Stegostoma tigrinum: one gene and its partners. The protein of the gene in region 3 interacts with the protein of the main gene of each other region in a biochemical or structural test. Links are inferred from orthologs where the notes say so. Each region holds a gene or a part of one and is shown on either strand. Other genes may lie near its edges.

Region 1 (6,988 bases), on a different chromosome or scaffold from region 3:
TCACCTTTCTCTTACTGTTCCCACCTCTCTCTCTCTGTTGATGTCACTTATTTCTGGATCACAGTTCTACTTGCACCCTCTGTGGCCTGAGCAAGTTTTTGTCAAAGTTCATTTTTTGTTGCGGCGATCCATAATTCATTTCATGCTCGCTCCCAAGAGATGCCAAAGTTAAAGCAACTGGGAATGAGGTTATAGATGGAAAATGCTGAAGCGAGAGGAAATAGGAGAGTGGACAATGGTCGTGGTTAGTATTGGAGAGTGAGGATGGACAGTGGCATAACTGTGCGTATTACGTAGTTATGGCCCCTAATGTAACACACTCGGACAAGTTTTCTTGTTTATTGAATATCGGCCCTGAGGGGGGGAAAAAAAACTGGACCCTGAACTTCAGGCGTGTATCCACACGCTCGATTTCGGGATGTTTTCTATAACAGAGAGAAGACAAGGAAGACCTGGAAATTAGGATGAAGAGGTGAGTAACATTCTCTAAATTATTGCTGGGATACTGGAGCTGTTTGCCTTAGAGTGAGAAGAATATATGAAGATTTAATACAAATTTTCAGATTAGTGGAGCGTTGATAGAAAAGACTGGAAGAAATTGTTTCCACCAGTAAGACAATGGCCTAGGGAGGGCTTTTCAAAATAATTGGGAAAGGAGCTGTAAGGAAGTTGAGGAGAATTAATTTTACACAAGAGGTTATTATGCACTCCCCAAAAGTATGACGGAATCAATTTCGAAACGGAATTGGGAATTTACTTGAGAAATGAATTAAGTATTAAAGTATTGGGAAAAGTATGGAAATAGCTAGTCTATAGAGCGTACTCAGGTGGCGTGCTGTATAATTGAAACCAGTAACAAGACAAGAAAATACTCAATGAATGACAATAAACAAGCAAGTTCCGAGGAACAGAACGATTTTGGGGTGTTTGCGCACACATTCCTGAAGGTGGTAGGACAGATTAACAAGGTAGTTAAGACAATCACTTTTATTAGTCCCTGCATTGACTAAAAAATCAAGGATATTATGCTGGAACTATACAGAACTTTGGTTAGATTCCAATGCAGTACCATGTGCAGTCAGCTTATCTCCCCATAGAAAGGATGCGATTGCACTAGAGGGGCGCAGAGGAGATACACCAGGAAGTTGCGAGGCTATGCGCTCGGGTGTTTTCTTTAGAACAGAGAAGGCTGAAAGGAGACCTGATTGAGGTCTAAAAGATTACGACGGGCATGGACATGGCGGGTAGAAAATAGCTGTTCACCTTAGTTCAAGAGTCAATAACAAAGGGGATAATTTCAAGGTGAAACGAGGAGTTTTGGAGGGGTAGTGAAGATTTTTTTTTCTACACTCAGAATGTGGTGGGAATGTGGAGTGCTCTGCCTGGGAGGGTAGCTGAAGCTGGAAACCTCGCAAACTTAAAAAAAAAGCACTTGGAGGAACACTTGAAATACCATAACATTTAAGTCGTAGGGTCAGTGCTGGAAAATGAGACTAATGTAGATATAAACTCTTATTACGGTGGGAGCAGACTCGATGGGCCGAAAGACCTCTTCCGAACCGTATGATTCGATTAATCTAATTCTGTAACTGAACATTTGATGTAGGTTGCATGATAGCTGTTTTATTTCGGCAAAGTTATTTTTTTCTAGACTGTTTGATAAACTTTCCCGCCCGAGAACACCTGAAATGACAAGGTAGAAATTGAGAACCCTGTTATGTTTGGTTTGAGAGTCTGAGACAAGAATATGAGACTCCAGTAGTTGATTACTTGATATTTTAAAATATGATTGGCTGAAATGATTCTGAGCTGTGATTGGTCCCACTCTTGGTTCTCACATAGACATGGTACAGATATAATGGATTCGGGTTGACGGAGTTACAGAATAGCGACTATATACAGTCATGTAAGTACCTTCTAACATAACTGACAATTAAATGAATCACCCACAGAGACATATAGTAAATAGTTTTCATTTACATTTACAACTTTTTTTTCATTCTGCCCCGAACGGATCTTTAATTCCCTTTGCTCACAGCTAAATCCTCTCCCATTGAAACAAAATTGATTTGCATTCCCAATAAATGTCTGTCCTGAAAACACAAAGGGCGCACACTCCGAAAGCTCTGGGATCAATTTATAACAAATCAACTGGTTGTAAATCAGACTGGCATAACTTTCCCGGGCAGCTTCAAGTGTTGCACATTGAGTAACGTAACGATGTGATTTTATACTTCCTTTTCATGACAACAATGAAATCCTAAATGAGCTCGTGATTTTCTGGCCTCTATACCGTCAACGTCTCTGCACACGGTGAGAGACAGACAGGGAGAGAGAGCGCGAGAGAGAAGTTGCCGCAAAGTTTCGCAAGACTTTTGAAAAAGTTTAGCTGGACTTCAAACTGAGAAGCCTCCCCAGCGAAAGCTCCAGTTTCTACAGCGATTGGGGACTGACTTACAAACAGTAGGCTGAGAAAGGTCAGTGCAACTGGTAGGAGTTGTTGCCGGTTAGTGAACTGTGACAAATGTTCTTCTGAAGTTTCAAGTTCCTTTATCTATGAACCTTGGTATTCCGCTCTTCAGCAACACCCAGTGAAATAGACTTCTCGTAGATTACACTGCAATTCGGGCAGGGAAGGAACAACGTCCAAGTCAGAGAGAGAAAATGTACCGGCGGTGTAATAAATGTGGTCAAATCTGTATAAAAGCCTGTAGAGGTTCCACTCGGCGAACTTGTTTGTTTTGAGAACAGAACCTGAGGGGTAGAGTGAGATTGCTTGGTCTTACCTGAAGAAGAGTTTAGAGAAGGCATTTGCTTTTTCTATGGGTGATCTCTGCATTGTTGTCCAGTGAAGGGTTTCCAGTACCTGAAACAGAGCCTGCCCGCACCCCACCTTATTAACACTGCCTGATGATGTCACTGCTTAGTGCAGAGAGAGAGAGAGAGAGAGGGAGGGAAAGGGAGGCTGAGATTTGACAGCATTGTGCCTTCCTGAATCTGCAAAACCTCGTTTCGGCCAGAACTTCAACTGTTGCAAATTGCTGTCCAGTTCTCAGTAATCATTAACGACTGCAAGACAACTACAAAATGTTGTGACTTATTAATGGTTAACATACCAAGAATATTGTCAAATGCACCTGCTATTATTCTTACATTGCAACCATCATGAATACAAGTTTCATCGTGGGCAGTCCATTGGAAGTTTTCTGTGTGTCCTTTGGGTGACCATGTCTCCCCTCAATCTGAGTTTTCTCGAGGGAATCACCACGTGTTCTCTTTTGCGGTCGTTACATTGTTTTGTACAGACTTTTAAAAACACAATGAGTTTTCTTTTAGAGGAAAGCTGTTATTCGCTATAAGGTACCGAACTGTAACTCGTTCGGTTTCTGGGAATGTGGAGCGCCCGCCGTAGTTGAACTTTTGAATCAACAAGGTGTTTGTTGTTCAGCAGTTCTCACCAGCAGGAAGCAACATCTCTGATTTCACCAGCCACACGTGTGGCAGTTCTCTTCTGAACCCATATTTTGAATGACCCATGAGATAACTATATTGACAGAAAACGAAGCAAACGTGTGCCTGCCCTTTTTATTGAAAAGCTCATCAAAAAGCAATAAATTAATCTCATTGTAGCAACGTTTATATGAATGACTGAAGATTACCAACGCAGCGTTTGACATCCAGCAGGGAAACGAATGCACAAGGTAATTACAACCTGTTCATTCCCTATCCTTCTGGTGGAACCATGTCAGAGCTGGGATAACAAAGTGTGGAGCTGGCTGAACGCAGCAGGCCAAGCAGCATCTTAGGAGCACAAAAGCTGACATTTCGGGCCTAGACCCTTCATCAGAAAAGGGGGATGGGGAGAGGATTCTGAAATAGAGATTCCCTGAGGTCGGTCCGGAGGGAAGAGGGTAACTTCTTCAGGTTAGGCATCCTGGAAGAGGCTTCGCAGTGAGGTTAAAATTGTGATCAGAGATAATGGGAATTGCAGATGCTGGAGAATGCTGGTATTATTTTTTTAAAAAACTTTAAAGTCTCCCTCGTATAGGTGTGTTGTATTTGCATATTACTGCCCAGGTATCCCATCGCCCCAGCGATTACATCTTGGTTTTAATTTTTCTCTCGGGCACTTGAACCTGATTTTTATTTTCAGATGAAATTGAACTTTAGAATTTTCGTCAAGAATTCCCAGCGAGCAAAACATTCCCAGGCTTCGAACCAGTTCCAGGAACAAAAATGATACAATCACGACTGTGACAAAGGAGAACTCAATGGAGAGGAGAACGTGGACTGCAGCACACGATGCAGAACTAAAACAAATGCTGCACAAACAAACATAGGGCTAGGTGGGTGTAACTGCTGACATGGAGGCCAATTCATTTAGTGCAACCATGAAGTTTAGGGTGGCTTTTGTTGTTTTCAGTATTTGAAGAGAATGCGCCTTTAAACTGATTTATTTTATTGGCGGATTTAATCCATATGCGGACTCAAACAGGAGCTCACATTTCAAGTCACAGAGTTGAAGGGGAGAAATGTTGCAAGGCAGTTTGTACTGTGGCTGTGTGTGTGGACCACGATAGATACGGGCAACCTATCCCTGCGGCCTGTGTCGAAAGGTGCTGAACTGGTGAAGGGAAAAACATCTCCAATAGGTAAATCACTAAGATTTGCTTAATAAGAAGTGTGGATGCTGTAAATCAGGAACAAAAACAAAGTTGCTGGAAAAGCTCAGCAGGTCTGGCAGCATCTGTGGAGGAGAAAACAGATTTCTCCTCCACAGATGATGCCAGACCTGCTGAGCTTTTCCAGCAACTTTGTTTTTGTTATGGAGATTTGCTTGTTCTGCAAATCCATCCTTATTTCATTTTCTAAATGTGTTCATTAAAATTGTAAATCTGCGATGTCACCCTGATCGTTACTGAATTAACAACTCTGCTACGCCTCTGAGAAATAACTTCAAAACAACACCGTTGTCTATTAAAACATTGCCTTTCTAACTTCGGATTTTCACAAATCAGAGCAATCTACAGAGAAAGTTTGGTTTGTAATTAATTACACTTTTTTCTGTTAGAGATACAAAGGTCAAATAATAATTTTTTGTAAGAATTGACCTGGTTATTATATTTACGTTGTACATATTCAGAATTAATTCAATTGTGCACTGCTTTGGGCTGTCTTAATGAAAAGTGCATTTTAACATAGAGATTGTGCAATATTTTCAATAAATACTTCGCTGGAAATCGCGCAGAACTGTTGTCCAGTTCTTCCACGAGTTTACGGCATTTGGAGATGTTAAATAAAAAGTCAGAGATAATGGGAACTGCAGATGCTGGAGAATCCAAGATAATAAAGTGTGAAGCTGGATGAACACAGCAGGCCAAGCAGCTTCTCAGGAGCACAAAAGCTGACGTTTCGGGCCTAGGCTCTCTGATGAAGGGTCTAGGCCCGAAACGTCAGCTTTTGTGCTCCTGAGGTGCTGCTTGGCCTGCTGTGTTCATCCAGCTTCACACTTTATTATCTTAAATAAAAAGTCAGATTTTGTTATTTGAATTTTCAAAAGCGTGTTCCTGCTTCACAGATATCACCATCCCAGCGGGGGGGAGAATTGTTCTGGTCCCCGATTCTTCACAAGTTGCTGTACAATGAGCGGATTAGCATACATTCAGCATTCTGAACTTTACTGAGCCGCTACTTTTAATTCGTTTGAAAACATTCCCGTCATCACTGGCAATGTTTCACTGCAAAGCCTGAATGGCTAATTTCACATGTCTGAAGAAGGGTCCGACCCGAAAGATCAGCTTTCCTGCTCCTCTGATGCTGCTTGCTTGGCCTGCTGTGTCTATACAGCCTTATGCCGTGTTATCTATGGCTAATTCCACATGTGGGAATTTTAATTTAAAAACGCATAGAGTCAAAATGACAGAAGGCGATAATTAACATTGTAAATTATACAGGTCAGACTGATTTAGAGCTCAGCTATTTCAATCAGTTCTCTATGTCTGTTGCAATATGCCACACTGCCATAAGCATTGTGAGAACTGCAGTGAATCTGGAAAGTAAAACCGTATAGGCTATGGTTCATTAATACGCAATTAATGTCGTTTCTCTAGCGCATAGCCGGTAGTTCCTAGGATCATTACCTAATTTTGCTAAGACATCTTTTCATAATCAAACGTTTCGACTATCCAATGGGTGTTTGAATGCGACCTGAAATAGTACAGAATGAACATTAAGCTTGAAATAGAAATCACAGTGCAGAAAGAAGGCTTGATTTCGTGCTCCAGTGGAAAATGGAAGGTTTTTTTCTTCGAAGAAAAACGATACCAACATACTTGCTAATATACAAATTAGGAGCAGCAGTTGGCCATTCTGTGCCTCCGATCGGCTCCATCAATTGTTAAGATCCTGGCTAATCTGATTGTGGCCTCAACTCCAAATTCTCAGCGAGCCCTGACAATCTTTGACTCCCTCTCAGTCAAGAATCTATCTACCGCTGCCTTGTTATTTATTTACCTTACCTCCACCTCTCTCAGGGAAGGAGAGTTCCAAAGGCTCATAACCAACCTCGAGGGAGAAAGCAAAATCTGTCCGGTCTCCATCCTAAACTACTTGCCCTATTTCTAATGGTTCCCACAGGGGATTCAGTATGTCAAGTACTGTCATAATCATATGTTTCATTAAGATCACCTCTCCTTCTAAACTCCAATGGATCCGCTGCATCCCATGAGCCAATGAATCCTCCATGTATTGCATGTTATTTTCTGTACTATGAGCTACTGGGTGAAGTGTCAAAATGTGATGCTATAATAAAGGAAAAGTAGGAGGAAATTGATTCCCAGTTCAATTGCTGCAGTAGGTGATGGGGATGAGTGATACCTTTCCCAGTTAAATACTGACACTTGATACACTGCTCTCCCATGAAGTTGAGGTGGGAACAGTGCTTCTTAAAGCACATTGGAGTCAGGTCAGCATCTCTGCCTCTCTCACA
Region 2 (7,956 bases), on a different chromosome or scaffold from region 3:
GTCTACCTGGAAAAGGAACAACTGCAACATATGCCAGTGCACAATCTGCAAGGGAAAAACTTACGAAATCATAGAATCAAAAGTTATACTGCTCAGAAACAGACCCTTCAGTCCAAATTGTCCGCATCAACCAGACATCCCAATCTTGCTAAGTGGTGAGGTCACCTTCCTGGACCTCTCAGTCTCCATCTCAGGTAACCAGCTAGAAACTGATGCCCATTTCAAGCCCACTGGCTCCCACAGCTACCTAGAATACACCTCCTTCCACCCACCCTCCTGCAAAAGTTCAATCCCCTATTCCCAATTCCTCCGCCCCCACTGCATCTGCCCCCAGGATGAGGCATTCCACTCCCGCACATCCCAGATGTCCACATTCTTCAAGGACCGCCACTTTCCCTCCGCAGTGATCGAGAATGCCCTTGACCGCGTCTCCTGCATTTCCCGCAACACATCCCTCACACCCCGCCCCTGCCACAACCGCCCCCAGAGGATCCCCCTCGTTCTCACATACCACCCCACCAACTTCCGGATACTACGCATCATCCTCCAACACTTCCGCCATCTACAATCCGACCCCACCACCCAAGCTATATTTCCATCCCCACTCTTGTCTGCCTTCCGGAGAGACCACTCTCTCTGCGACTCCCTTATCCGCTCCACACTCCTCTTCAACCCCACCACACCCGGCACCTTCCCCTGCAACCGCAGGAAGTGCTACACTTGCCCCCACACCTCCTCCCTCACCCCTATCCCAGGCCCCATGATGACCTTCCATATCAAGCAGATGTTCACCTGCACTTCTGCCAATGTGGTATACTGTATTCATTGTACCCGGTGTGGCTTCCTCTACATTGGGGAAACCAAGCGGAGGCTTGGGGACTGCTTTGCAGAACACCTCCGCTCGGTTCGCAACAAACAACTGCACCTCCCAGTCGCAAACCATTTTAACTGGGCCTCCCATTCCTCAGACGACATGTCCATCATGGGCCTCCTGCAGTGCCACAATGATGCCACCCGAAGGTTGCAAAAACATCAACTCATATTCCGCTTGGGAACCCTGCAGCCCAATGGTATCAATGTGGACTTCACAAGCTTCAATATCTCCCCTTCCCCCATGGCATCCCAAAACCAGCCCAGTTCTTCCCCTTCCCCCCCACTGCATCCCAAAACCAGCCCAGCCTGTCTCCGCTTCCCTAACCTGTTCTTCCTCTCACCCATCCCTTCCTCCCACCTCAAGCCGCACCTCCATTTCCTACCGACCACCTCATCCTGCCTCCTTGACCTGTCCGTCTTCCCTGGTCTGACCTATCCCCTCCCTACCTCCCCACCTATACTCTCCTCTCCACCTATCTTCTTTTCTCTCCATCTTTGGCCCGCCTCCCCCTCTCTCCCTATTTATTCCAGCTCCCTCTCCCCAACCCCCTCTCTGATGAAGGGTCTAGGTTCGAAACGTCATCTTTTGTGCTCCTGAGATGCTGCTTGGCCTGCTGTGTTCATCCAGCTCCATACTTTGTTATCGCAATCTTGCTAAGTCCCACTTGCCCCCATTTGGCCTATATTCCCCTAAACCCTTTCTATTCATGTCCCCATCCGGATGCTTTTTAAATGCCATAATTGTACCAGCTTCCACTACCTCCTCTGGCAACTCGTTCCATACATGCAACACCCTCTGTGCAAAAATGTTGTCCTCAGGTCCCTTTTAATTCTTTCTCCTCTCACCTTAAAACTATGCCCTCGAGCTTTACACTCCCCTGACCTGGAAAAAAAGACCTTGGCTGTTTATCCTATCCATGCCTGTCATGGTTTCACAAGTTTCTATAAACCAACCTTCCGCCTCTAATGCTCTGGGGGAGAAACGTCCCAATCTCTTCAGCCTCCATCCTGGCAACATCCTTGTAAATCCTTTCCGAAGCGTTTCAAGTTTAACAACGCCGTTTCCTACATGTTGCTGGCATCGACTTCATAATAATTCTCAGCCAAAATAAATCATGCTTCCTTCTTAATGTATGCAACATATACTATATTTTTGGTATGGGATGTATATTTTAATAGTATGTATTGTCACTATTATACAGGCTATCTATAATGTTTGGGCCACCTGTGGTTTACCTGGTAATACTCTCACCTTCACATTATATGGTGGGCTGCTGTGGATTGTCAAGACTAGTTTAGTCTGGGAACTTGATCAGCATGGATGAGTTGGACCAAAGGGTCTGTTTCCATGCTATTTGACTCTGAGACCCATTCCAGAAACCTGATTACAAAATCTCGCTGATCACTCCAATGCAACGCCAATACTGCATTACCTTTCAGATGAGAAAGTGAGGCCCTGACTGGCCCATCAGGCGGGTGTAAAAGATCCCACTTTTGCTACTTCAAACAAGAACAGAGGCCTTCTTCCTGATTATAGAATCCCTACAGTGTGAAAACAGGCCATTTGGCCCACCAGGTTCCTTCCAAGCCTCTGAACAGCATCCTACCCACATCCAACGTCCAACCCTTTCTCTGTAACTCTGCAATTCCCATGGCTAATCCACCTAACCTGAGCATCCCTGGATACTATGAGCAACCTAACATGGCTCATCCATCTAACGTGCATGTTTTTGGGCTGTGGGAGGAAACCAGAGCACCCAGACACAGGGAGCATGTACAAACTCTACACAGACAGTTGCCTAAGAGTAGAATTGAGCCCAGGTCCCTGGCGCTGTGAGGTAGTCATGCTAACCACTGAGCCACTGTGCCACCTGATGGCCTGATCACTATTTATTCTTCAACAAAAGTTACGAAAACAGACTAATATCTCATTACTTCACATGAGATTTTACCATTTGAAAACTGGTCACTGCATTCATCACTGCATTTCTAAAGTTACCTGTAAAGAGCGTTGAAACCCCAAAGTTGTGTACGGTGCTATATAAATGAATTTTGTTTCTTCTGCGAGCTTTGTGATTGTGGAACAATTTTCTTGCACCTCAGCACATCTACACATCAAAATTTATTAGATATGAAACATTTGAGGATTGTTTGAAAATATGAGAAACTGTTCCTTTAAACCGGATACATTGTGATGTCCAACCCAAGGAAGCCAACATTTAAAATCAATGTAGATAGTCAAATGTTCACTGATAAAATAAGATGCCCTCACAAAACCCAAGGATCCTATTCCAAATTCCAAGCCTGGGATCACTTGCAGATCGGAGAGAGCATTGCTAGCTTGTACTGACTTTCCTTCCTAATATAAAGCAATTGCTTCTTAGGGTCAAATAGGTCACAGAAAAAATCACTCTGCTGTAATTCCAACGTGCCTTGGGCCAGAAAAGTAACCAACCCTCTCTCTTTAGGGTTTATTCCTAAGTCAGAGATCTTTTAAAGGGATTCCTTTCAAGTCTTAATTGATACAACTTCCACTCAGACCTCCACGAAAGCAGAGAGAGAAATTTCCCAAGATTTTTTTTTTCTGATATTATCCCTTGTTGAGACTGAAGATAAGGTAGATGGGATTTCTAAACTGCCTTCTGCAAACTCCCAAAGACAACAATTAGATAATGAGCAGTTAATTTATTACCACCAATGGACCAGAGCAGTGGTGAAGCAAACCCCGAACATATTTTCAGGGAATGCTGATGGAGATGTTAGATACCATCTCCTCCTTTAGACTGCCGCTGACTGAATGGTCAAACATTCACTGGGAGCAATTCTTTCAATGAATGAACCAAAGAAACCATTTCGCTTGATCCTGTCTGTACTGATAGTTGTTCTCTCCAAGGCAACTCTAACGGTATCTGCATGCATTTTGCATGGCTTTCAACACAGTGTTAGACATATACAAAACAGTACAATTTGAGCATTGGCTAGTATAAATTACAGCCATCACGTCAGAATATCATCCAAATTTACCCACATTGTAGGGGGGTTAAAAATCAACATTTTGGATCATCCATGCTTATTCAGTTTCCTATCTGTTTGGAGATATGGTCAGGACTGTGATTGAGTCACTCTCAGAGCTTGTGATTAATGCGATGGTTGGAACTGATGATGGCCTTGATACATGCGATCATGCACTTACAATTCCAGAAGTCAAGAATAAAGAAACACTTTCGGAATGCATCTAACACACGTATAAGGTATGTTAAAGTCCAGAACCAGTTGGGCTCCCCTACCTTGGAAGAAAAACCCTTGGCTATTCACCTTACCCGTGCCCCACTTGATTTTGTATATCTCTAGAAGGTCACCCTTCATCCTCTGATGATCCAGGGAATTAAAGCCCTGGTCTATTCAACCTCTCCTGATAGCTCAAATCCTCCAATCCTAGCAACATCCTTGTAAATCTTTTCTAAAAACTTTCGGGCTTAATAACCTCCTTCCTATGTGTTACCAGCATCTGCTTCATAATAATTCTCGGTCAAGGTGACCACACTAACCCATTCAATATCACATTTGCTCTCATTTCCTCTAGTCTTTTGGTTACATTTGCATCTCTGCTCCATCATTTCGGACAAAATCTTTATGTGGCGTGGACTGACATTCTAAAACACTTTCTCTAAACCTCTCAGTCTTTTCCCCACCTCATCACTCTTCAAGATCTTCACAAAATCCATCTCGTTCCAAAAATCTGATTATCTTCCTCAACTCCCACATCAGCTCCGCACCTATTCATTTTCCTTCTGAAGGCACATTAAAATATCTTAATGCTAAAATAGTAGCCTATTTACTCGCTGTTACTTTAGAAATCTATATGATTTATGTATATAATGGTATCAGAACATAAATCATTATGGTCAATTCCATTAATATGCCTTTGCTTTCAGTAGCTATAGTGTAATTAACTTCAAAATGCAACTTTTCAGAGAAACTGTCCTCAAGAGGCAAAAGCATCCTCAAAACTAAACAATGGATGCAGTTCTGCTGGAAGACAAACTGTCCTAGTCATAACACAGAAAGATTCACAGCCTGTTCAATTAATTATTCTGTTTTATATCCACTAATTCAATCACATAACTTCCTCTGTCTGCTAGATTAAATTTATCTTCTTGACACCTTTGAGTGGCTTGAACTCAATTGTTAACTTCTTAAATCACTGTTAAAATAACACAAAGCAGGGTCTGAAAAAGATGTTAAATGGTGTTTAGCAAATATAATGCCCGAGGTTAATCAATACTATGAACTTTAAAAAGTGAATATTTTAATCGTGTTTTTTTTTCATTATGACTCATTTGAATAAAACAGGGAATTAGGTTCATAAAGAGAACAAACATTTGAGCTACGTAATCTCAAATGCAAACAATATTAACAATCAACTCTATAATTTCCAGACACCTCGCTGTTACAAAAGTATATGATCATGCCTTACCCGATCTTGATCTTGGAACTGGTCTCCTCACAGATTCTCACATTTACACACTTGACCCAGTTTGGGAAGAAAGTATTTCAACACTTGTCTTTTATACATAGACTAAGAGAGCAAAGTCTGCAGTGCCAAACTTATAGAGCGTGTACCTGCAATAACTAACCAATGATGAGGAGGCTGAACATCGTTAATTTATAATCAACTTTTGGTGCATAAAGTGCTGACCCTGGAAGAGCTGGATCTGTGTATTCCATAAACTCACCATTCAAACTATTTGCCAAATTCAGTAAAATCCCTTTGATGAGCAGAAGCAAGAGGGGTGTTGCGTTTGGTTAACTCTGAGTTATCTCAAGCATTTTTGGATGATTTTTGCCGTGAGGCCTTGTGCATTTTGTCAGTGAAATAACTGCTCAGAGACCAGTATCCTGTCACCAAGCCATCTTTTTTATACCCGTACACAGTACACTGGCTATGACCAGGCAGCTCAGAGTCAGCCCCTGAAGTGAGGCGATTCTAAATCTCCTGGTTATTTTGGTCAGCCAGGGCTTTCCTGGATTGGTCCAGGTTAACAGCCACAATCGATGAGGTCCTGGTCAACAGGATCTACCTAGTCCCAATCACTACACCCCTCACCAACTAAGTCTGAGAAGGTTGGTCTGGTCTTTCGTTTGTAGCTTCTTTTGCAACATTTTTACTCTTGTCTGGTTCCTCTCATAGATCCAGGCACTGGCGGTGCATACTGGGCCGTGGCCTGCCTCTTGTATCTGGAACATCTCAGTAGAGTTCCCTCCTCTTCTTCCGGCAGCAACAGTTTCAAGGCTGCATCCATTTCAGACTCTGAAGTTTCCCTAACAGTGGGTGGAGGGGGAGCACCTTCGGCTCCTGCCGAGCCTCCTGGCAACTTTCCCCGTTTGTGAGGTAACAGCTTTCAGGTGATCAGCATGTTTGTTCAGGACCGCCTCAGCCACCCGGACTTTGTAAGTCACGGGACCTGACCTTGCATCAACCTCATCTTGTACCCAGACAGGGCCATTTCCATTGGCTTCAGCACCAATTTAATCCCCGAATTAAATTGTCTCTCTCGCTTAGAGGTGGCTTGTGAATGGAATTGGCATTCTTGCTGCCATTTCACCCTACCCCCAAGCCTCGGAACATCAATTTTAACCTGGTACGGAGTCCTCTTCCCATCAGCAACACTGATAGAGCTATCACTGTTGTTGAGTGAGGTGTAGTCCTATAATTGAACAGGAACGGGGGACAGTTTGGTATTGAGTGATGCTATAGGCTGCTTCAACATTTGGATCACTCTTTCTGCTAGACCATTGCCTTAACCATCAACTCTTGCAAGGTTTTAGTATCTGGTGCCTCTGGAAAAGTTAAACCCCTTATAACCGAGAATGCTGTGGGTCCGCAAGCAGCCAGAAGGATAGCTTGTTGCTTTTCATCTGCCCCCAATGTCATCTGCCTGGGATAAAAAATAATTGCATTCTTTCCACATACTGGGCCCAGTCTTCGATGGCAGGATCAATGTGTTAAGCTTCCCAAATAAAGGCATGATGCCAGAAATGCTTACCCCAACTCCAAGATGGCTGCCACAAACGAATGTTCTTCAGGCACGCCCTGCTTTCTCCTGTCACCACTGAAGTTCCCTGTTTATACTGGTCAGCCAGGGCTTCCTTGATGGCTTGGGTTAACAGCTCAAATCAAGGACCTCCAAGTCAACAAGGTCCACCTTTTTCCAAACACTACATTCACCACACTTTGCTAAACAGGTATTATCAACTACTTACCCCAAGCACTCGGACAGGAACTGGCCTTCTGAAGGAACCCTGATCAATTTCAGGCAGATTGTGAATGTTTGGGAGAAGAGGAAGATGGCACGGTCATTTCTCTTCAGGGATCTGGAGGTCCCAGTGAATGGGGGTATTGCAGAAGGGGTGCAGAGGAGGCCACGAAACTGGACCCTGTCAGGTTGGCCTGAGGTCACTACTTATTGAGTCATATGCCTGGGAACAAACTCTTTGGTCCAACAAGTCCATGCCAACCCTATTCCCAAACTAAACTAGTCCTACTTATCTGCACTTAACTGATACCCCTCCAAATGTTTGTTATCCATATACTTATCCAAATGTCTTTTAAATGTTATAACTGTACCCACATCCACCACTACCTCTGGCAGCTTACTGCACGTACGAACCACTCTCCGTATGAAAAATTTGCCCTCATGTCCTTTATAGATCTTTCTCCTCTCACCTTAAAAATATTCTCTAGTTTTGTACTCCCTCACCTTGTCATTCATCTTATGTATGCCCCTCATGATTTATAAATCTCGATAAGGTCACCTGTCAACCTTCCGTGCTCTGGTGAAAAAAGTTACAGTCTTTCCAGTCTATTTTCATATCTCAACATCGTGGCAAATCTTTTCTGAACCCTCTCTAGTTTAATAATATCTCCTTATAACAGTGCAACCAGATCTGGACACAGTATTCCAGAAGAGGCCCCACCAATGTCCTGTATAACCTAAACATGATGTCCCAACTCCTATACTCAAAGGTCCGAGCAATGAAGACGAGTGTGCTAAATGCCTTGTTAACCACCTTGTCTTCCTA
Region 3 (6,906 bases):
TCAGACCTCTGTGTTCTTCCAATTCCACCCACTGTTGGGCAGTTCTATCTTCAAGCTGCTTGTGTCCTAAACTCTGGCATTTCTTCCCTAAACTTCCCAGCCTCTGTATCTCACTTGTCCTTATCATCTACAAATTGGATCAATTTATTGATCATCTGCCATAGTATCTCCTTATGTGGCTCTGTGTCAAATTTCATTTAATACTTGCTCGTTTGAAGACAGGATGTTTTAATATATTAAAAATACAGAAAAAATATAAGCTAATTTTAATAAGTATACACACTGTTTTATAATACACACCAAACCATGTGTCATCATTTTGAGTAGTGACTATTAATAGAGCTATCATGCCCATATACATCTCACACATGACTGGATACTGAGGGATAAATTGTCCCACCTCTTGATCATTGTAACTTCATTAGAAAATCTGTTCACTCAGAAAATCAAATTGCACCCTGACATCTGGGTGGGAGAAAGAAGTTTAATTTGCCCCTTGTGAATTGAATATATATATTTTGTTTCATGCTATTTACACTTATGATGTAATGACAGCCAGACCCAGTGAGCTGAAATTCACTCCCAATCCATATTGGGGTTTACCAATGTCATCTTAAACTTTCCTGACCGCATCCATGTTATGGAACCCTCCTGTGGTGCTGTGGTAGTGTTCCTACCCTGGACCAGGAGGCTTAGCGTCAAGTCTGACCTGTTTCAGGGGTGTGTGATAGTAACTCAGAATAGGCTGATTAAAAATACATTTTTGTTCCAGACCACAGTATTGTCATTGGCCAGTTGTTCATCTAATACAGTATGCTTCCACCAACCAATCAGACTTCTGTGTGATCTGACAGGTTGATGCTTGGCTCTCAGTCAAATATCTGTTCACTTGCTCCTGTCTCCAATAATAGCCAGATAGGAGGGATCACATTTGCATGAATGAAAGTGCACCCTCTTTTTTTTAGAAGTCCCAGTGATTTTACTCAGTGTTCTGGAGACTCAGGGCCAATTTTGAGAATTGACAACACCAGTCCACACTGAGGCCACATTGAGGAATAGTCTTTCAAATGAAGATTACCATCCAGCATAGAGAATGTGGGTTCACCGGAAAAAGCTAGACTCAAGATCACTGCCAGCATCACCTGGAATAGTGGCCCCTGCACATTTTAAGGTCTTGAGCAACAATTCACATTTGATCATCATCATTAAGGTTGTAAATAGTCCCAAGGAGCTTCATAGAAGTAATTACCTACCAATATTTGACACCTGAAACACATACAGTGTATTAGAAAATGTCTGGTAGGTTTTAAAGAGATTTCTAAATGAACAGAAGGCATTCCCAAGCTTTTGAGACCCCAGTGGGCATAGCTGCTGCTGGTGGAAGCCTATACCTGCTATAAACGGGGGCCCCTCCTCCTAGTCTATAATAAAGAATAATTCCAATTTCACACCAGTGTTTTGGCCTTCACTAATGCCTTTGAAAATAAGCAAATTCCCGATATGGGAGAGACTTCCTTCAGTTTCAGGTCTATCTCTATGAGTTGCAGTGGAAATCTAAGTCTGCTGTGTCAACCAGCTCCCCTTTATCCACAGCATGTGTTACTTCCTCAAAGATCTCCAACAGATTGATTAAACATGATTTCCCTCTTAACCTAACTTGCCTGTTCACTTCAGTTAGACCTACTTTCTTATCACCATAATTACCCTTGTTTCTGTCTAAAATACTAGTCTTGGACCCACTCCTCTCTCTCTCTCTCTCTCTCTCTCTCTCTCCAACTGAAAGTAAAATTCAATCATATTATGGTCATCAATAACTATTGGGACTTTCACTTCAAATCCTATCTTATTGCACAGCACCAGATCTAGTATTGCATGCTCTCTGGTCGGCTCTGAGAAACCATCCTGAAAAATATCTATGAAATCTTCATCGAGCCTATCTTTGCCCATTCAATTTTCCAGTTTGTACCACATTAAAATTCCCCATGATTTTTGCCAAACCTTTCTGACATTCCCGTCTGATTGCTTCCTATATTTGCCATCTTATGTGTATTTACTATTAGAAAGCCTATATACCACTCCTATAAATGGCTTCTTCCCTTTGTCATATGTCATCACCATCTAAACTACTTCTGCATTCTGGTTTCCTGACCATATGTCATTCCTCTCTATTGTACTAATGCCAGCTCTAATTTAAACAGCATTATTGATGTAACCAAAAATAAAGTATAAAACCACTGCGATTAGATATTGCCTTCGGTTCCGGGACAAGACCACAGCTAACGTAAATAGATTTCAGTTAAAATCTGTGTGGATCTCCTAATCACAAATTCTGACAGTCCAGTTGGAGGCCATTCAGTAGATTATGTCTATGTCTGACTGTAAGTAATATTATGTCTCTACATGGGATACCCTAAGTAATTAACAAACTATTTATATTTATTGATCACCCCATTTACAGACTACTATTTCAGAAGTAAGTTATCATACTTAAATAAATAGTGTTGCATTATATTAGTTTGAAAAATTGAGCCAGGACTATAAAACGTTATTATAGAAAAGTAATTTCAATAGGAAGTTGTATGCACTGAGAATTCCAAGGTGTCTGTACTTTTTTGCTTTACTTAAGTTGCACAGCAGGAGTATAATTTGTCATGAAAAGTTATTTACCTGCTTATTCTATTAAACTTCAATAGCAGATGATTGCAGTCAATATTTGAACAGCAGTGAAATTGAAAATACAGATTAGCAATATGTCAAATGATTAAAACAGACACAGGGGAATGTGCGGACACTAGTTATATTGCGATGTTTGCTGCTGACAATTAAACTCGAGCCGTATTTCTATCCAAAAATTAATCCAGGGCAAAATAATGCTCACAAAAAGTGCTTACCAAACTCTGGTCGGTTCAGTTGCTAGTGAATCTATGAATGTTGTCTTTTGTAGGTGCAATCTACACCTATGGACTTTGATCAAGGTTTGGTTAAAAGGTTGAACAATTCAGCAGAGCACTCGACATATTGTGGAATGCTGATACATTCCCTTTATCACTGTGTCCAATATTTAATTGATGTGACTGCTTCCATGAACTCTTTACTAGGCAACGTTTATTTGTGAAATTCTAATAGCAATGAATCTCTAATAATTAATGTGACCACAAAACTCCCACTTGGATAGGGCACTGTGTAAAACTCTTTACTGTTTACTGTCATAACTAAGTGACTGTGTGTGTGTCACTCTAGTTTGGCAAGCTTTTTCTCTACTGGGTTAGTCTCTAACCTGCTGAAGGGGCTTTGAAAATGTTTGGCTGCTTATAAGTTGCCCAGAACTGGATGCCTCAGAATACTGTATCAGATATAATAGGAACTGCAGATGCTGGAGAATCTGAGATAACAAGTTGTGGAGCTGGATTCACACAGCAGGCCAAGCAGCGTCTCAGAAGCAGGAAAGCTGATATTTCGGGTCGAGACCCTTCGTCAGAAATGGGGGAGGGGAAGAGGTTTCTGAAATAAATAGGGAGAGAGGAGGAGGCGGATCAAAGATGGATAGAGGAGAACATAGGTGGAGAGGAGACAGACAAGTTAAAGAGGTGGGGATGGAGCCAGTAAAGGTGAGTGTAGGTGGGGAGGAGGTAGTTCAGTCCAGGGAGGATGGACAGATCAAGGGGGCGGGATGAGGTGAGTAGCTAGGAAATGGGGGTGCGGATTGAGGTGGGAAGAGTGGATAGGTGGGAGGAAGAACAGGTTAGTAGGCGGGGACGAGCTGGGCTGGTTTTGGGATGCGGTGGGGGAGGCGAGATTTTGAAGCTTGTGAAATCCACATTGATGCCATTGGGCTGCAGGGTTCCCAAGCGGAATATGAGTTGCTGCTCCTGCAACCGTCGGGTGGCATCATTATGGCACTGCAATCGGCCCAGGATGGACATGTCGACTAAGGGATGGGAGGGAGAATTGAAATGGCCCGTGACTAGGAGGTGCAGTTGTTTATTGCGAACCGAGCGTCGGTGTTCTGCAAAGCGGTCCCCAAGCCTCCGCTTGGTTTCCCCGATGTAGAGAAGGCCACACTGGGTACAGTGGATGCAGTGTACCACATTAGCAGATGTGCAAGTGAACATTTGCTTGATATGTAAAGTCTTCTTCGGGCCTGGGATTGGGGTGAGGGAGGAAGTGTGGGGGCAAGTGTAGCACTTCCTGCGGTTGCAAGGAAAAGTGCCAGGTGTGGCGGAGCAGACAAGGGAGTCACGGAGAGAGTGGTCCCTTCGGAAAGCAGATAAGCGTGGGGAGGGAAAAGTGCCTTTGGTGGTGGGGTCGGTATCCCGCGCCCCCTTGACCTATCCGTCCTACCTGGACTGGACAATCACCTCCCTACCTCCCCACCTACACTCACCTCTACTGGCTCCATCCCCGCCCCTTTAACTTGTCTGTCTCCTCTCCACCTGTCTTCTCCTCTATCCATCTTCGGTCCGCCTCCCCCTCTCTCCCTATTGATTTCAGAACCTTCTTCCCCTCACCCATTTCTGATGAAGGGTCTAGGCCCGAAACGTCAGCTAAGATGCTGCACCTAAGATGCTGCTTGACCTGTTGCGTTCATGCAGCTCCACACCTTGTTGCCTCAGAATACCGCATTGATTCAGAAACATCATTCAATCTTTCTTTTCACATAAAGAAGGATATGGGAGAAAAGGACACCAAGTGTTGACATGAGGGGAATAGTTGTGATTAGTGGAATATGCAAGTACAGACAGTGGAGAGTCCATTGTGATTGACAGGTGGTTATGAGTAGTATGGAGTAGAGATGGGAGAAAATATTGCTGTTGCTGAAGCAAAATAGAGATTTAGGGAAACTTTGAAGGGGAGTCTCACATTCATAGCCCTGACGAGATCATGAGACTTCTTCCTGCACTGATCCAGGTTGTAATGACGCTGAATAAAATCCAAAAGATCTGCGGATGCTGTAAATCAGAAACAAAAATAGAGGTTGCCAGAAATGCTCTGCAGGTATGGCAGCGCCGGTGGAGAGAAATCAGTTAATATTTCAGGTTGAGTGACCCGAAATGTTAACTCTAATTTCTCGCCACAGATGCTGCCAGACCTGCTGAGCTTTTACAGCAATCTTTATTTCTGTTTACAATAGTGCTGATATTGATTTGTTCTTCCACCTCATTCCATCATAGTTAGTGAATTTGTCTGGGTAATGTTACAATCTCCATAGAGACAGTTAACGTTTAAAGAAAAGAATTAAGCACCCAGTGATTCACTGAAAGAAACATGCACAGGATTTCATATTTGAAACCAAAATACGCCCTTCTCCACATGTATAAAGATCATAATGCAAGCATGACTTATTTGGAACTCTATTTTGTTAAGACAACACAGTTCCTCATTTGCTTCCTAATTACATACATGAGTTTCATTATTATGAAACACATTAAACACATTATGGGATCTTGTGGATTCATTCACTTCTCCTTTAGAATTCAAACCAAGTATGTCACAGCTTGAAAGATTTGAAATTAATTTCTCAGCATTCTGGTATTTTTTAAGGTGAGAGATTTTGTCGGGATTCTTTCATTAGCTTTTGGCCAAGAAATTCTCCAATTTTTCCTCTAAACTCATTCTTGTGAACTTCACAGCTCAACTTGGACCCTACACCTTGCATTCACAGCATACATACTCAATGCCTTGGTTCCTAATAGCCTCTAAAGTCCTGTGTCGCTCTTAGTCCCACTTTCCAACCCCTAACTCAATCGCAGACACTTTCTCTATAACATATTCTCTGCCTTCTTCACCCTGTATCCTATAAAGGCCAATACAGAGTTCTTCATTCAGTTCAATATAGGCAAATCTTTCAGCCTCTTTTCCTTCAGGATCTTTGCCTCCCAACTGAGCAGAAGCTCCAACCTGCATTCTACATGATGAATGATAAAGTGCTATTTTCTCCGTTTAAAGTCGGCTAACATTTATCTCTTTTGTTCTTTTCCCCAGTAAGTTGCACTTGTATCCTTCTGTTTCCAACCTGAAATGTTGATTGCCTTCTTTGAGCAAACTTACCAGAAAATAATCAAATATCCATAAGCCCCACAGAATACCAACATGGCAGTGTGACATAAATGGCATGTTCCAAGCTGTAATATAAATTAGTTATCTTTTGTTTTCAAAACCCCCTTACATTCTGGCACCATCATGAATGATGTGTCTCCTGATGGAGTTAATAACCCTTTTCAGTAGACTTGTTTGTTCAATCACAGAACTTCATTGTTTACAAAGTTGCTTTTGGATTTTTTGATCTGGGAACGAGATAAATAATTTAAATAATTATAGGCCTCCTGTGAATCAGTGATTACCTGTATGTATTTGAATTGCCACTTAATTCAATATTGTTTCTCAGTTGGATAGTTTCATTCATCTTACATCTAACACATCAATTCCTAATTTAGAAGTTATACCTCTAAAGCACATGAATTGTAAATTCAGACACTTGCAGCAGCATGCAGCATTGAGTAGAGAGAGAGGCGCATTTTCCTTTGTACTGCTTTCTTGCTCCTTGAGCAAGGCGCCATCAAAAATTACGAAGGTCCTGGACCTTGTCTTTTGACCAGCAGAATTAAAAACTAACTTCCATAAATTAACAGGAGGGCCCACTTGTTTTTCAGAGGCACAGGATGATTTTAACCAGAGGCCAGTGGGGGCATGAAAGCTCCCCTGTCCATCAAATGTCAAACTCCCAGGGGTAGACACCAGTGTGCTGTGCATGTTGTGTTGGGTTTGAATGAAGTATGCTGAAGATCTATCTAGCAGTTGGATGAGGTGGGGACTCAGAGGGATAAAACAAAGATCATTACTGAATACGGCATGTTCAGCATTAAAGAGCGGAAGGTCAGAAGGGATAGTAAATAGCCAACAAGAGGA

What was found. The genes of interacting proteins can lie anywhere in the genome.
Region 1: the proteins of pdzk1 (region 3) and cftr form a complex in vitro, tested with the Homo sapiens proteins (2 studies listed by BioGRID and IntAct, with this or other methods). The link is inferred for Stegostoma tigrinum from reciprocal best matches to the Homo sapiens genes PDZK1 and CFTR.
Region 2: the proteins of pdzk1 (region 3) and sodium-dependent phosphate transport protein 2A-like form a complex in vitro, tested with the Homo sapiens proteins (2 studies listed by BioGRID and IntAct, with this or other methods). The link is inferred for Stegostoma tigrinum from reciprocal best matches to the Homo sapiens genes PDZK1 and SLC34A1.

The regions. Positions count from the first base shown.
Region 1 is NC_081371.1:34,862,515-34,869,502, reverse strand, and holds the start of cftr (cystic fibrosis transmembrane conductance regulator), read right to left. Parts: upstream 3,005-6,988; 5' UTR 2,840-3,004; coding exon 2,787-2,839; intron 1-2,786. UniProt on the Homo sapiens protein: Epithelial ion channel that plays an important role in the regulation of epithelial ion and water transport and fluid homeostasis. Mediates the transport of chloride ions across the cell membrane.
Region 2 is NC_081366.1:72,046,655-72,054,610, forward strand, and holds the start of sodium-dependent phosphate transport protein 2A-like, read right to left. Parts: upstream 3,005-7,956; 5' UTR 2,990-3,004; coding exon 2,873-2,989; intron 22-2,872; coding exon 1-21.
Region 3 is NC_081359.1:15,465,646-15,472,551, reverse strand, and holds the start of pdzk1 (Na(+)/H(+) exchange regulatory cofactor NHE-RF3), read right to left. Parts: upstream 3,013-6,906; 5' UTR 2,892-3,012; intron 1-2,891. UniProt on the Homo sapiens protein: A scaffold protein that connects plasma membrane proteins and regulatory components, regulating their surface expression in epithelial cells apical domains.